2 linked regions of the Drosophila melanogaster genome follow. The protein of the gene in region 1 interacts with the protein of each later gene in a pairwise test. Each region holds a gene or a part of one and is shown on either strand. Other genes may lie near its edges.

Region 1 (4,527 bases):
CTGTATAGAAAATATTGACCCATATATGTCAGAATTTGAACGGTAGGCGAACCAGCGAATTGGTGACAGAAGCCCAAATGATTCGATATGGATCGAGATCTAGGCGGATTTTCACAATTTATAACGATAGAAAACGTATTAAGTTTGAATATCCTATGACGGTTCTTAAAACTTTAAGGTACGCATAAATACATAAATGGCACATGTAAATATCATAAGGGATTTAGTATGAACTGAAACCGTATTTGAATATTGATGCGCCTGCCATGCATTTTACTTAGCTGCACTTCACTTGCATAACATCACGTCTTCTGAGCTCTGGATGCACAACTTTCTTTGCGGACGTGCCATCCATGCCTCCCATTCGTCATTACCCCATTTTTTAGTCCCCCCCCCCCTCCCAAAAAAAAAAAAACCATTTCAACTGGCCTAGTTAAATCAATAAACATTTAAAGGGTTAAATCCATTATACATTAACAATTTAAGTTAGTTAAGCCATCAAAATGTTTGCCAATAACATATATATCCGCTATATCGACCCTAATGCATGCGATTGTAGCGTTGCGGACGATGGCGCCTTCGTTGACGGGGACCAAACATCTTTTCTTCAGCGAGCTGAAGAAGATGCGGTCCAATTTCTTGTTTACAGATCTTAAGAAAATCGACCACTTCCGTCACGAGCTTGTAGTTTGCCATGGTAAAGAAGCTGATGACCTCGCAGTTACGGTTATACGACAGGCATCCCGTTCTGCTCATGCGTTGAACATACTTATCAATGTTGTCCGGGAAATCATAATTGATCACATAACGAATGCCTGGCACATCCAAGCAGTTCGATGTCATTTGCGTGGCCACAATGATATTGTAGGCGCCAGTGCCAAAATCATGGATTATTCCTTGATTTTCTTGGGCAGTGCGTCCACCATGGATGCCCTCGCAGGGTACACAATTCCGGATCAAATCCACCAGTTCTTCCACGACCTTTTGGCGCTTCACATAGATCACCACCTTACCGGGAATATCGCTTGTATCGTAAATAGCAGTCAGCTCCTTCATAAGGCGTTCTACTTTCGATAGCCCATTGACTACCTCCACCCGCTGGCGGATGTTTTGTAATCGCACGCCTATATTGTTTATTTCACCCACGCGAATTGCGGTGTATTGGCCCAAAAACTTGTTGGCCATCCGTTTCAGATTAGATGACCACGACGTGCTGCTGACGATCAATTGGGCATGCGGACGTAGACGGCATAGTAGTCGGCAAATGTTACCCTCTAAGCCCACATCAATCATGCGATCAATATTGTCCAGAACCAAATATGTGCAGCGTTCCAGTTCTACAACATGTTTTTTGTTATCAATCATTTGAAGCAGGCGACCAGCAGAGGCCACCAGCAGATCGCATTCGGCATGACCTTGCCATTGACTGTTGCCCAAGAGGCAATGCGTCCTAAGCTCGAGAGGATTTGTATAGTACAATACCTCTCTTTGGACCATGACAGCAGCCTCACGGCAGTCCACCAATATCAAGACAATCGGTCCTTTCTTGTGCTGCATTAATCCGCGCTGATTGTGCATCTTCATTATGCCCGGCAATAGATAGCCCAATGTTTTACCCGTACCCTTTCCAGAAATCATCACAATATTTTTGCCCTCCTTGGCAATCGACCATGTTTGTGCCTGAATGGGCGTGGGCCCATCATAGCCTTGATCCTCCAGTTGCTGTAATATGGTTGCATTGAATCCGCTGCGCTCGAAACTCAGCACAGGCTCCGGAAGGTTTCGCATATTCCAGCTGGTCAAGGTGATATTGTGGCGTTTCCGATAATTAGCGGCATTATTATACACCTCATCCATCGGCTGCTTCCAGGTATTGTAATTACTAGGGCGGCTTGGGTTTTTGGATTGGTCCTGATAACACAAAGTATTCCGATGGGGACTGCGGCTTCTGGTGAAGGAGCGGCTAACCAAAATCTTTTGAATGGAGCTGCAACTCATGCTCCTCGATTGACTCTTCTTCCAGGGAGTGCGCATTCCGACCCTCCACGAATTGCGGCCGCGATTGGACGGACTTTTGGGTTCTGGACTCCCGTACGTCAGATCATTTTGGGTCTTCGAAGGACAAAAGCGCTTTTGCGGTAGACTGCTGCTCCTGCTTCTTGATTCTTTATTTTCACGAGAGGTTTTCACGGCCTTGAAAGAATTTGGCGATTGCCAAGTTTCATGAATGCGAAAAACAGCGCTTCGCATGCGTGGCCTCTCTCCCGTATCGCTACCGTGAGAACTTGATCCCGTAGTGGAATCCGAATCGGATGACGAGCCGGAATTGGAATCGGATGAACTCGATTCGGATCCGGAAGAATGAGCAGACTCAGAACTGGACCGCAAATGGGATTTTCCTCTAAACTTGCCATTACCCATGCTCCTGCTTTTCGACCGGGATTCGCGCGTAGACTTGGAAAATCCGCCAGCAGAATGCGGACCACTGAAACTCTCGCTCCTGATTTTGAAATTTGGTTTCTGTCCCTCAATTCCGTGTTGTATTGTGAAAAGCCTTTTCGTAACGAATTTGGAGGACAAGACAGAGCTTGAGGATTTTAAAGATCTGGACTGACCGCTTATGTCCGAAGCGCTGGAGCCCCAAATCGAAGACTTCGTACCCTTAAGGAACGGCTTTTTCTGAACCTTTTCTGCATCGGTTTCGTTGTCTTTCCAGTTTCCAATCACCAGTTTCTTAGCTTTCTCACACATTTTCTGCAGCACTTATTTGCGTTTGTTCACTTCCAATTTTTGCCAAGGCAATAAAAAAATCTCCTTACGAACACAGCGAAATGCCACGTGTTATGAAAAAAGTTGACAACTCTAAGCTTTGGTGTTGGTTAATTTTCAGTGTGTCCTCCTCTTAGTGTTGGTAAATTTAAATACATTTAAATTTAATGAAATAAAAAATTCCCATATGTGTTTGTTATTGTTCTTAATAAAATGTAATGTTATAAAATGTAATTTCTTATTAAGGGGCATGAACTGAGGTTTGAGTCCGTATTAATCTGGAAGATTAATAATTTAAGTGGACTTTTTATGGTCTTCAATATGCTTAATTTCCCGAGTGCAGACTGTTCCAGTTCCGGACTGAGATACGGATACGGGTTTGTACTCCGCTGGCGGAAGTTCAGAGCGCTCTTACTCAATCGAAAGACCCACATTGGGTGGGTTATCTGCCGTATAATTGGCGAGTGTGAGTGTCTGAATGTTTGGTCAATTAAAAGCATTCGCTGGCTTTTTTATCAAATTCAATTAGCCGACGACGAAAGCAAAACAAAATCCAAAAAAAAAAAAACCAAAAACGCCGCAACAAAGTTGCTCAATGCGGAATTCAGAGGAGGGTTTTACCATCTCTCTAAATAAAAATCATAAAACTAAAAAACAAAAAATGAATAAATAATATAAAGTACACATGCATGCATATGCGAGGAGTTCTAACTATAGAAAATCCGTATAATTAACTAGATAAATTGGCAAGCAATTGGCTGTACAGCTCGTTAAGGCTAATGATCGTCGGACAGCTAACGATCTCCTTTGGCTAATTGGCCAACAGTACGGAACACCCCTCCGCGACCCGGTTTTCAGACCACCCTTCATTTAATGTGGCCATCAAGTCGTAATTACGCTCGTTGTTGAAACGATGAAGACATCAAATTGCATTGCATCGCCTTTAGAATTGCTGGCCATTCAAAGAGATTTGTTTTGGTTTAAGATCCCAATCAGTCCGGAGTTTCAATTAAAGTTCCATTAACGCTTCGCGACACACACAATTATCAAAAAATTATATTTATGCTTATGACATTTCCGGCAGCTCCCCAGTTACCCAGCCCCTCCACACTTTCCACCAGTGCAAAATTTATGCTCCCCTGTCTGAGTCATTTCATTTATTTCGAGACAGCGCAGACAGAAGATCAAAGCGACTTCATGATTATGCTGCACGCATATCCATCACCATATCGAGCTCGAGCACTCGCCTCGGGGTGGAGTTGTCTATGGATCCATGGATGCACTCGAGGATTGGGGGGGGGGGGGCATGTGTGTGCAGGTGCTGGTGCAGGTGAGGCTGTGGCTGTGCCTGTCGCTGCTGCTGCTGGGATCGCTGTGTGTGGCTATAGTGGTTGGGGTAGTGGCTAATCGGCACTAAGCGTACAAAAACACGTGACCAGTTACCAAGTTGGTGGATTACTTATAAAAATAGTTAGTCTCAAGCTAAAATCGATGAAAAATGCTCCACAAAATGTGCCATATAAAGTTTTAAAGTTTTTTTTTTTTTAAATATCCTTATTTACTGCCATTTAAGGTCACTCTATACAGTATTACTAAACCATAACGACATTGCCCAACACTAACTTACTTTATTTAATTTGTGCGCCGACAACACATTTCTATGCAACTAATGTTGCACTGGGCATAAATTCTCGGCTATGTTCCCCGAAGAAAATCCACACACACACATCACTGGGAAGAAACGAGAGGAGATCCACG
Region 2 (6,640 bases), on another chromosome or scaffold:
TAATAGTTCATTAAGTCACGGACGGGAGATGTGGATGTGGAAGCCATGTGGAATCACGGCTACGGGGAACGTGAAGCCGTAAAACGTAAAATCGAACTTCATACCGCCTGCCGCCGAGGCAGGCAACTACAAGTGGCAGAATAATTGAGTGAACGGCAAGATAAACATTTCAATTTCGTTATTAAGTCATCAATTAGAGGAACCCAAATCCTACTGCAGGGTGATTCGGTTTTGATTTGAACTCCCGGGAGACAAATTGCCTGCCATAAAAATTTTGTAATTAAAGCGTTGCAATGGCACACAACTTCTTAGTTTGTGAGATTGCACAATATTAAACAATCTATTAGTACATATATTTTTTATTTTCAGCGTAAATATGTAGGTGGAATTTATTTAGATAACCCAATGAGGCATGTGGTTATTCTATGTTATATAAAAAATATACATTTTCTTAAGTACCTAACTAAAATTTCATTTATGATATTTCGAAATGAAAGTAAAAGTAGTAGATTTGAGCAATCTTCTCAGTTATTTACGGCAGTAATTTCGTGTATAAATTTATTTTAATAAATATATAAGAATTTCAAAAGAATTACAAGCTCAACATTTGCTATTATCCTCGGTCATGGAATAAGCTAGTTTATAAGAAACTCATTGTAGCAAATATCGCAGCGTTCGAGGGTTTTATGAGTGGCCTGTGGAGTTTCCAGAGACTCCACCAATTCTTTTGGCTTTATTTTATGGCCAAGAGTGCCTCCGTAATTCTTTCTCATAACCCAAGGAGAGGTACGTCGAGAACTTAGTAAGGAGGCTGTATAGGTGTGCCTGCCAGGACTGCAGGATCTTAGGGAGTGCAATGTGGCCGTTGATCCTCTCAAGATTTCCAGTCTGGCTAGCGCAGCCTCCAAATCGCAATCTTCATAGCCTTCCATAACAACTTGATCCGGTGACTGAGTAAAGGACTTTATACTAGGTGTATTCAGACTGCTCATTGGTCGGATTATCACATCTAAATTGCTGCTGTCTGAGGATTTAGCGCTGGAAGCCCTGGAAATCGGTGGTGATAACATCTTTGATTTGGAAACAACAGCTTTTGGAGTGTCTGTCTTTTTAGGTGATTGAGGTGCAGAGGATTGATTTTGATTTGTTGAAGTTTGAGTTGCTTCACTCGGACTGCGATCTCTGTGCGGTAATTGCTCCTTTGGAATATTGTTTGATTTGGTGAGATTCTGAGGTAGTTTCGGGGCTTCATCTGATTGCATAGGTAGAGAAGTTCTAAAAGGACTCGTTTGTGCTTTATAGGAATCAAATTCATGGTACGAATGCTCTCTTGAGCGTACCATTTTCTTTTCCATAGCTTGTGATTTCCGAGGACTTTTATCCTCCTTGAAAGAATCAAATTCTATGTAGGATGGCTCTCTAGATTTAACAGTCTCCTTTACTGAAGGTTTGTGTAGCCTAAAAGGATTGTGATTGGTTTCCAAAGACTTTAGTGGTACTACGGCCTTAGTAAAGGGCTTTTGTCCTTTTAAGGGCGTCCTTTGAGCTTTAATGGAATCAAACTCATTCAAAGATGGTTCTCTGGACCGTACTACATCCTTTGGTAAAGTGTTGGTAATCCTTAGTGGACTGCGAGGATCGAAATCCAAATAAGATGACTCTCGCGAAGAAATAATCCTGGAAGGCTGCTTCTTAGAAGACTTTTCCCTTGTCGGGGTTATGGGTTTTACTGCCCGGCGACTTCCAGTGCCTAGAAATTTCTCTCTTCCGGCTATCAAGGGTTGTTGAATAACTCCAGTGCTCATTCTGCGTCCGTATCCAGGTTCCTCCACCAAGGGAGCCGGCCTTCCTCTACCCCAACCGGAAACCCGTTCGGCAGGAGATCTTTGAATACCGGAACCAATGCGAGTGGCCAGGGAAAGACTGATGCGTTCGCGTTGGGGATTGAAATCGAAGGTCCTGGAAGTGGCAGGATTCGAGAGCCTGGAACTGGACCGGGATATACTACCCGCCTGTTCGGAACCCACGAATTTGGCAAACTCCCGTTGCCCTCTGCGAGTGGGGGCTGGAGTTATGTGGCCGCTGGACAAATCCGATTGGGAGGCACTCTGTGAGTTTTCACCGCTAAAATGACCATCGTAGTGATTCGGCTTATCCCTCAGACTGGTGTGATCCTGGTAAACGGAGAACTTGTTTTGACCGTGGGCGAAGCTTTCGTAGGGCTTAAACTTCTTGCTTTTGGCTAACTGATCTGCGAATTTCTCCCACTCGGTGGTGCTGGGTCTATGCTCCTCATCATTCGTTTTATTCGTTTTGACCAATTTGCGGCGCACTTTACGACTTCTGGGGGATTAGTATTCAGTGTATAAAAATTTAAGTGTGGATGGTCTTTTAGTGTATTAATTTTTTTTTTTAAATTTTTGGTGGTGTGTTTAGTTTTTTTTAGTATATAAGTGAGATTGTGTGTGTGTAAAAGTGGTATTTGCAAATCTTTAACGATCTCAAAACGATATAATTGTTAATGTATTTTAGGTTTTAATATTATGGTCATTAGTTCTGCAATTACGCACTTATTCGACAAACCGAATAAAATATTAATGAACGTATAAAATATATTTAAAATATTACCACAATACTACGCACATGACTTTGCTGTTGATGTTCTTGTTAGTTATATTTGCTGAGGTCGCAAGTAAACAAAGGCAGGGTATATGATATGTACATAGAAGTAGAGTAAGTTTATTTACAATTTACATACAAGTCAAGAAAAGAGAGAGGAGAAAGTATGTTGATTAGGCCATAATAAATGTAAATATCGGGATACTACGACGGAAACTACGAATCATAAGCGAACGTTGCAGGTACAAACTACGCGAAAACTTCAGGGTGCAGTGGCGCTACAGGTTACGGATTTGCGATGGGGCTACGGGGGTTACGGGTTAGCGATTACGGATTTGCGATGCTTCAGGTGCTCTCTAGGCTTACTTACTCCACGGCAGCGGAGGATTCGGTTGCTTCTGTTGCTGTAGCTGATGAAGGCTCGGCAGTCGAGGCAGGTGCATCCACTGCAGGCGCATCAGCAGCAGTTGCCTGCGAGACTTCGGCACTTATCAGAACCATCTCCTCCAGCGAGGGTTTCGGAGTCGGTGGGCTCTCCTCCTCGTTGGCCAGAGCCCGTTCGATCTCCGGCTCTGGAGTGGAGGTCTTCAGGCTATCTGTATCTTCCTGCATTTTGGGCGTCGGTGCTCGGGAACTGCTCATCGTTGCCTCTACCGGATCTGTTTTCGATTCGGAAACCTGGGGCTCTTCCAGGTGAAGACCCTCCATTACCTTGTGCTTGGCCTCGTCCAGAGCCTGAGTGCCCTCCTTGAAGGCGTTGCCCAGCTCAGTGGTAATTCCCGCCACCGCCGTGCCAACGGTCTCCTTGGCCGTGTCCAAAGTGGTGGTCAGTGTTTCAGAGGCGTCTGCAAGGAAAGCACGGGAATGAAAGCACTTTCAGTTGTCGATTCCGACAGGGGAGTGCTTATATATAAGTAGTATATAAATGTGCAGTAAGAAAATAATAAATGTAATAACACCACATTTGACTAGTTTAAAGAAAAAATTTTAATAATTTTTTAAACGAGACATGAAACGTGAATTGGTGTCGAATTTTCATTTAAAAAAACATTATATTCGAATAATTGAAGCCAATTTGCACAGTTTAGTCCGCATTTAATAATAGTACTTTCCCTCAGTGCACATGTAAGTATAATATTTTTAAGTCAATGTTTTTGCTCTAATTCGTTGACGTCTGGTCACGCAACCAAGTCGTTTTTCTTCATATGCGTTAAATAAATGTATAAAAATATGGTCGGGTGATGGCAATGGAGCCAGCTTTCACTTGCGACCCTCTGAAAGGCGGCCAAATGGCGAAAAATCAGGCCAAAAAAGGCTCCGCGGCACGCATTGCGCTGGCCAATTGTCCTTTATTACGTGGCTTGTTATTATAATAATGTGAAGTACGACCAAATTTATTACATACATTGCGGCTGGATGTATCGAATTTCTTTTTGGCATTAAGTGGGAATTTACTAGATTGTTGGTGGCCGGTAATTAGATGGATTTAATATTGATTTGGGCCAGGGGTCAAGGACTTTAGTTTATCGAAGTAGGAGTAGTTGCTCAATGCCATCCATCATTGTTGAACTACTAGTAGTTGTAGTAGTATGAGTAGCACATTTAGTGCCAACTAAAAATAATCCAATGCAATTCTAGAAACCTTAACATCAAATAATTGACTTTAGATCTAAGACTGTCCTTCGCCGAAAATTAAGTATCCGCTCGAAATATCAAGTATACGCCGACTGCCAGCTTGCAACTGCCCTTCGACCGCACACTCCTAAATGTCATCTGCTGGCCAACACTTAAACTAATGGCCAGCACGGATTGGTAACACACACACACACACACACACACACACACACACACTAAAGCACAAGCACACACACCTTCCACGACGGCCTCGCCCTTCTGTTTGACATGGCTGGCGGCTTTCAGCATTTCGCTGCCCGCCGTTGCAACCATGGGAGTGCTGCTGGCACAGCCCATGACTTCTTCTCAATTCGAGCCAGACAATCGCGGAACCATGCCGATCGGAGCGGGAATCGATGTGGATTGCTTTAGCAACAGCCGAGGATTTATTTATATCGAATATGAATATGATTATGAATTGGGTATAAGAAATACGCCCGCCTTTGGTCACGAACTCAACGCAACTGAGCACTGACCCAAAACATTCGCTGCTAAAGTGAAGGGTCAGTTCGGCACTCGACCACCGCCGACAATCCCCATTCACATCCCTACCATTGCCATTTACTGGGCACGCAACAGGACCGGACCGTTCTGAGCTGGACTGGTCAACCGGACCCATGGAGCACTTGGAGCCCCACAGTTTGCATGTGCGTTTGCACTTCAAGTGAAGTGAAATTGCTGAGGTCATGCGCGTTGGGCGCACACTTACCATAGTCATAGTTAAGGTAGTTATAGGCCAAAAGCTAAAAGGGTTCTAGGTCTGCAACAAAATAAGGTGGGGCACCGACGAGCGAGAGCTTAGACCAGCGAGTACCTGTTACTGAGATGAATTATACAAAATTTAGTTCAGATGTTGACCAATCAGTGTAATCAGTTTGCTTGAACACATGTATATATTTATTTACTGAACTATATATAAGATGGTTTATCTAACATATTTAGGATATAATCATAGAGCTTCAATATTTAGTTCAATGTTCAGTCCCATTTAGGGCTGCCTAAATATAACATACTTAAAGGTTATATGTGTAATCGAATGTTTACCGATCCTGAGCATCACTTAATGGCTGGCATACCCTGGTAGCCTATGAGTACCCGTCACCAAAGTGAAAACACAACAAGGGAAAGTGAAGAACAAGGCTTCAGATACGAAAATCTGTGTGTGTGTGTGTGTGTGTGTGTGTGTGTGTGTGTGTGTGTGTGTGTGTGTGTGTGTGTGTGTGTGAGGGGGTAGCGTGTCGGGATACGCCCAGTTCGCCCGATAGGTGGCGTGCATTCGCTTGCTAACATTCCTGACGTGGGCTTGTGTGTTTGTCTGTTGGTCAATGAAGGCTCCACACGGTTATTATTTTTAGAAACGTTGCACGATGTCCAATTGTTGCTCTAATTTCCATATGAGTTTTTGTCCGTGCCCATGAATGAAGCGAAATATCCGCTTGGGTTGACAGTTCCAATCAGATAAGAACTATGCAATCGATTCGGCATATTCTGTCCTATGCAAATCGCTCGATTGCGCTAGATTTCACTGTGGCCCACACCACCGCACAGAGATGATCGTCGAGGGGCCCTTCGAAAAGATTGATTTTTGATTTATTTTGGCCAAACACTTTTTTGGACAATTTTTTTTTTTTTTTTTGCAGCAATCGATTGGCTCTTGTGGCGCTGAATGCCTATTTCTGCCGTTCGGCGATTTATGTCAGTCAAGCAGTGACAGCGCTTTTCATGAGCCAATAAAGTTGTCCATGTCGCTTTGTCATATTCATATATCATGGCCGTACACCCGGCGACTTATGTCACATTCACATGGCCCAAGAAACTGGAGTATCGAGCAGAGCCTGCGCATAAACGAGGCCTAAGTGCGCGATCGAGAGACGTCGTCCGTGATGGTGACGGTGACAAAACACAATTTGGCCAGGCCAAACAAACAGTCAGACAGACGGAGGGACAGATAGACAGACCTATAACATACTTGTGTACAAACAAACCAGCTAAAAAAGTCGCATATAAATCAGCACACGCAGCTGGTTCATTAGACTCTCCACTTCGGGCTCTTGGCACTGCCATTTGGCTTGACATTAATTACATAAGCTAAGCGGCGCTTAATAATGCGCTCAACAATAGAGCAAAAGTGCTCGAGACCCAGTCGACCAATCTTGTGATGTAATGGCCTCCCCCATGCGAAAGTTTCACCTCTTAACACTCCGCCAATATCTTGAGCTTAGATGGGCAATTTGTTTATTGATGGTCCTCTTTAAAAATCTATGAAATTATGTGTACTTAATACTTAAATAAATACTAATACTTAATACTTAAATAATTTCATACCTTGTATAAGCGCGTTATTTTT

What was found.
Region 2: the proteins of CG14443 (region 1) and CG14837 interact in a two-hybrid assay, tested with the Drosophila melanogaster proteins (one large-scale study listed by BioGRID).

Annotation. Positions count from the first base shown.
Region 1 is NC_004354.4:6,632,183-6,636,709, reverse strand, and holds CG14443 (uncharacterized protein), read right to left. Parts: upstream 2,752-4,527; coding exon 541-2,751; downstream 1-540. UniProt on the Drosophila melanogaster protein: Probable ATP-binding RNA helicase.
Region 2 is NT_037436.4:7,555,233-7,561,872, forward strand, and holds CG14837 (uncharacterized protein), read right to left. Parts: upstream 4,806-6,640; 5' UTR 4,591-4,805; coding exon 4,491-4,590; intron 3,465-4,490; coding exon 2,990-3,464; intron 2,344-2,989; coding exon 636-2,343; 3' UTR 548-635; downstream 1-547.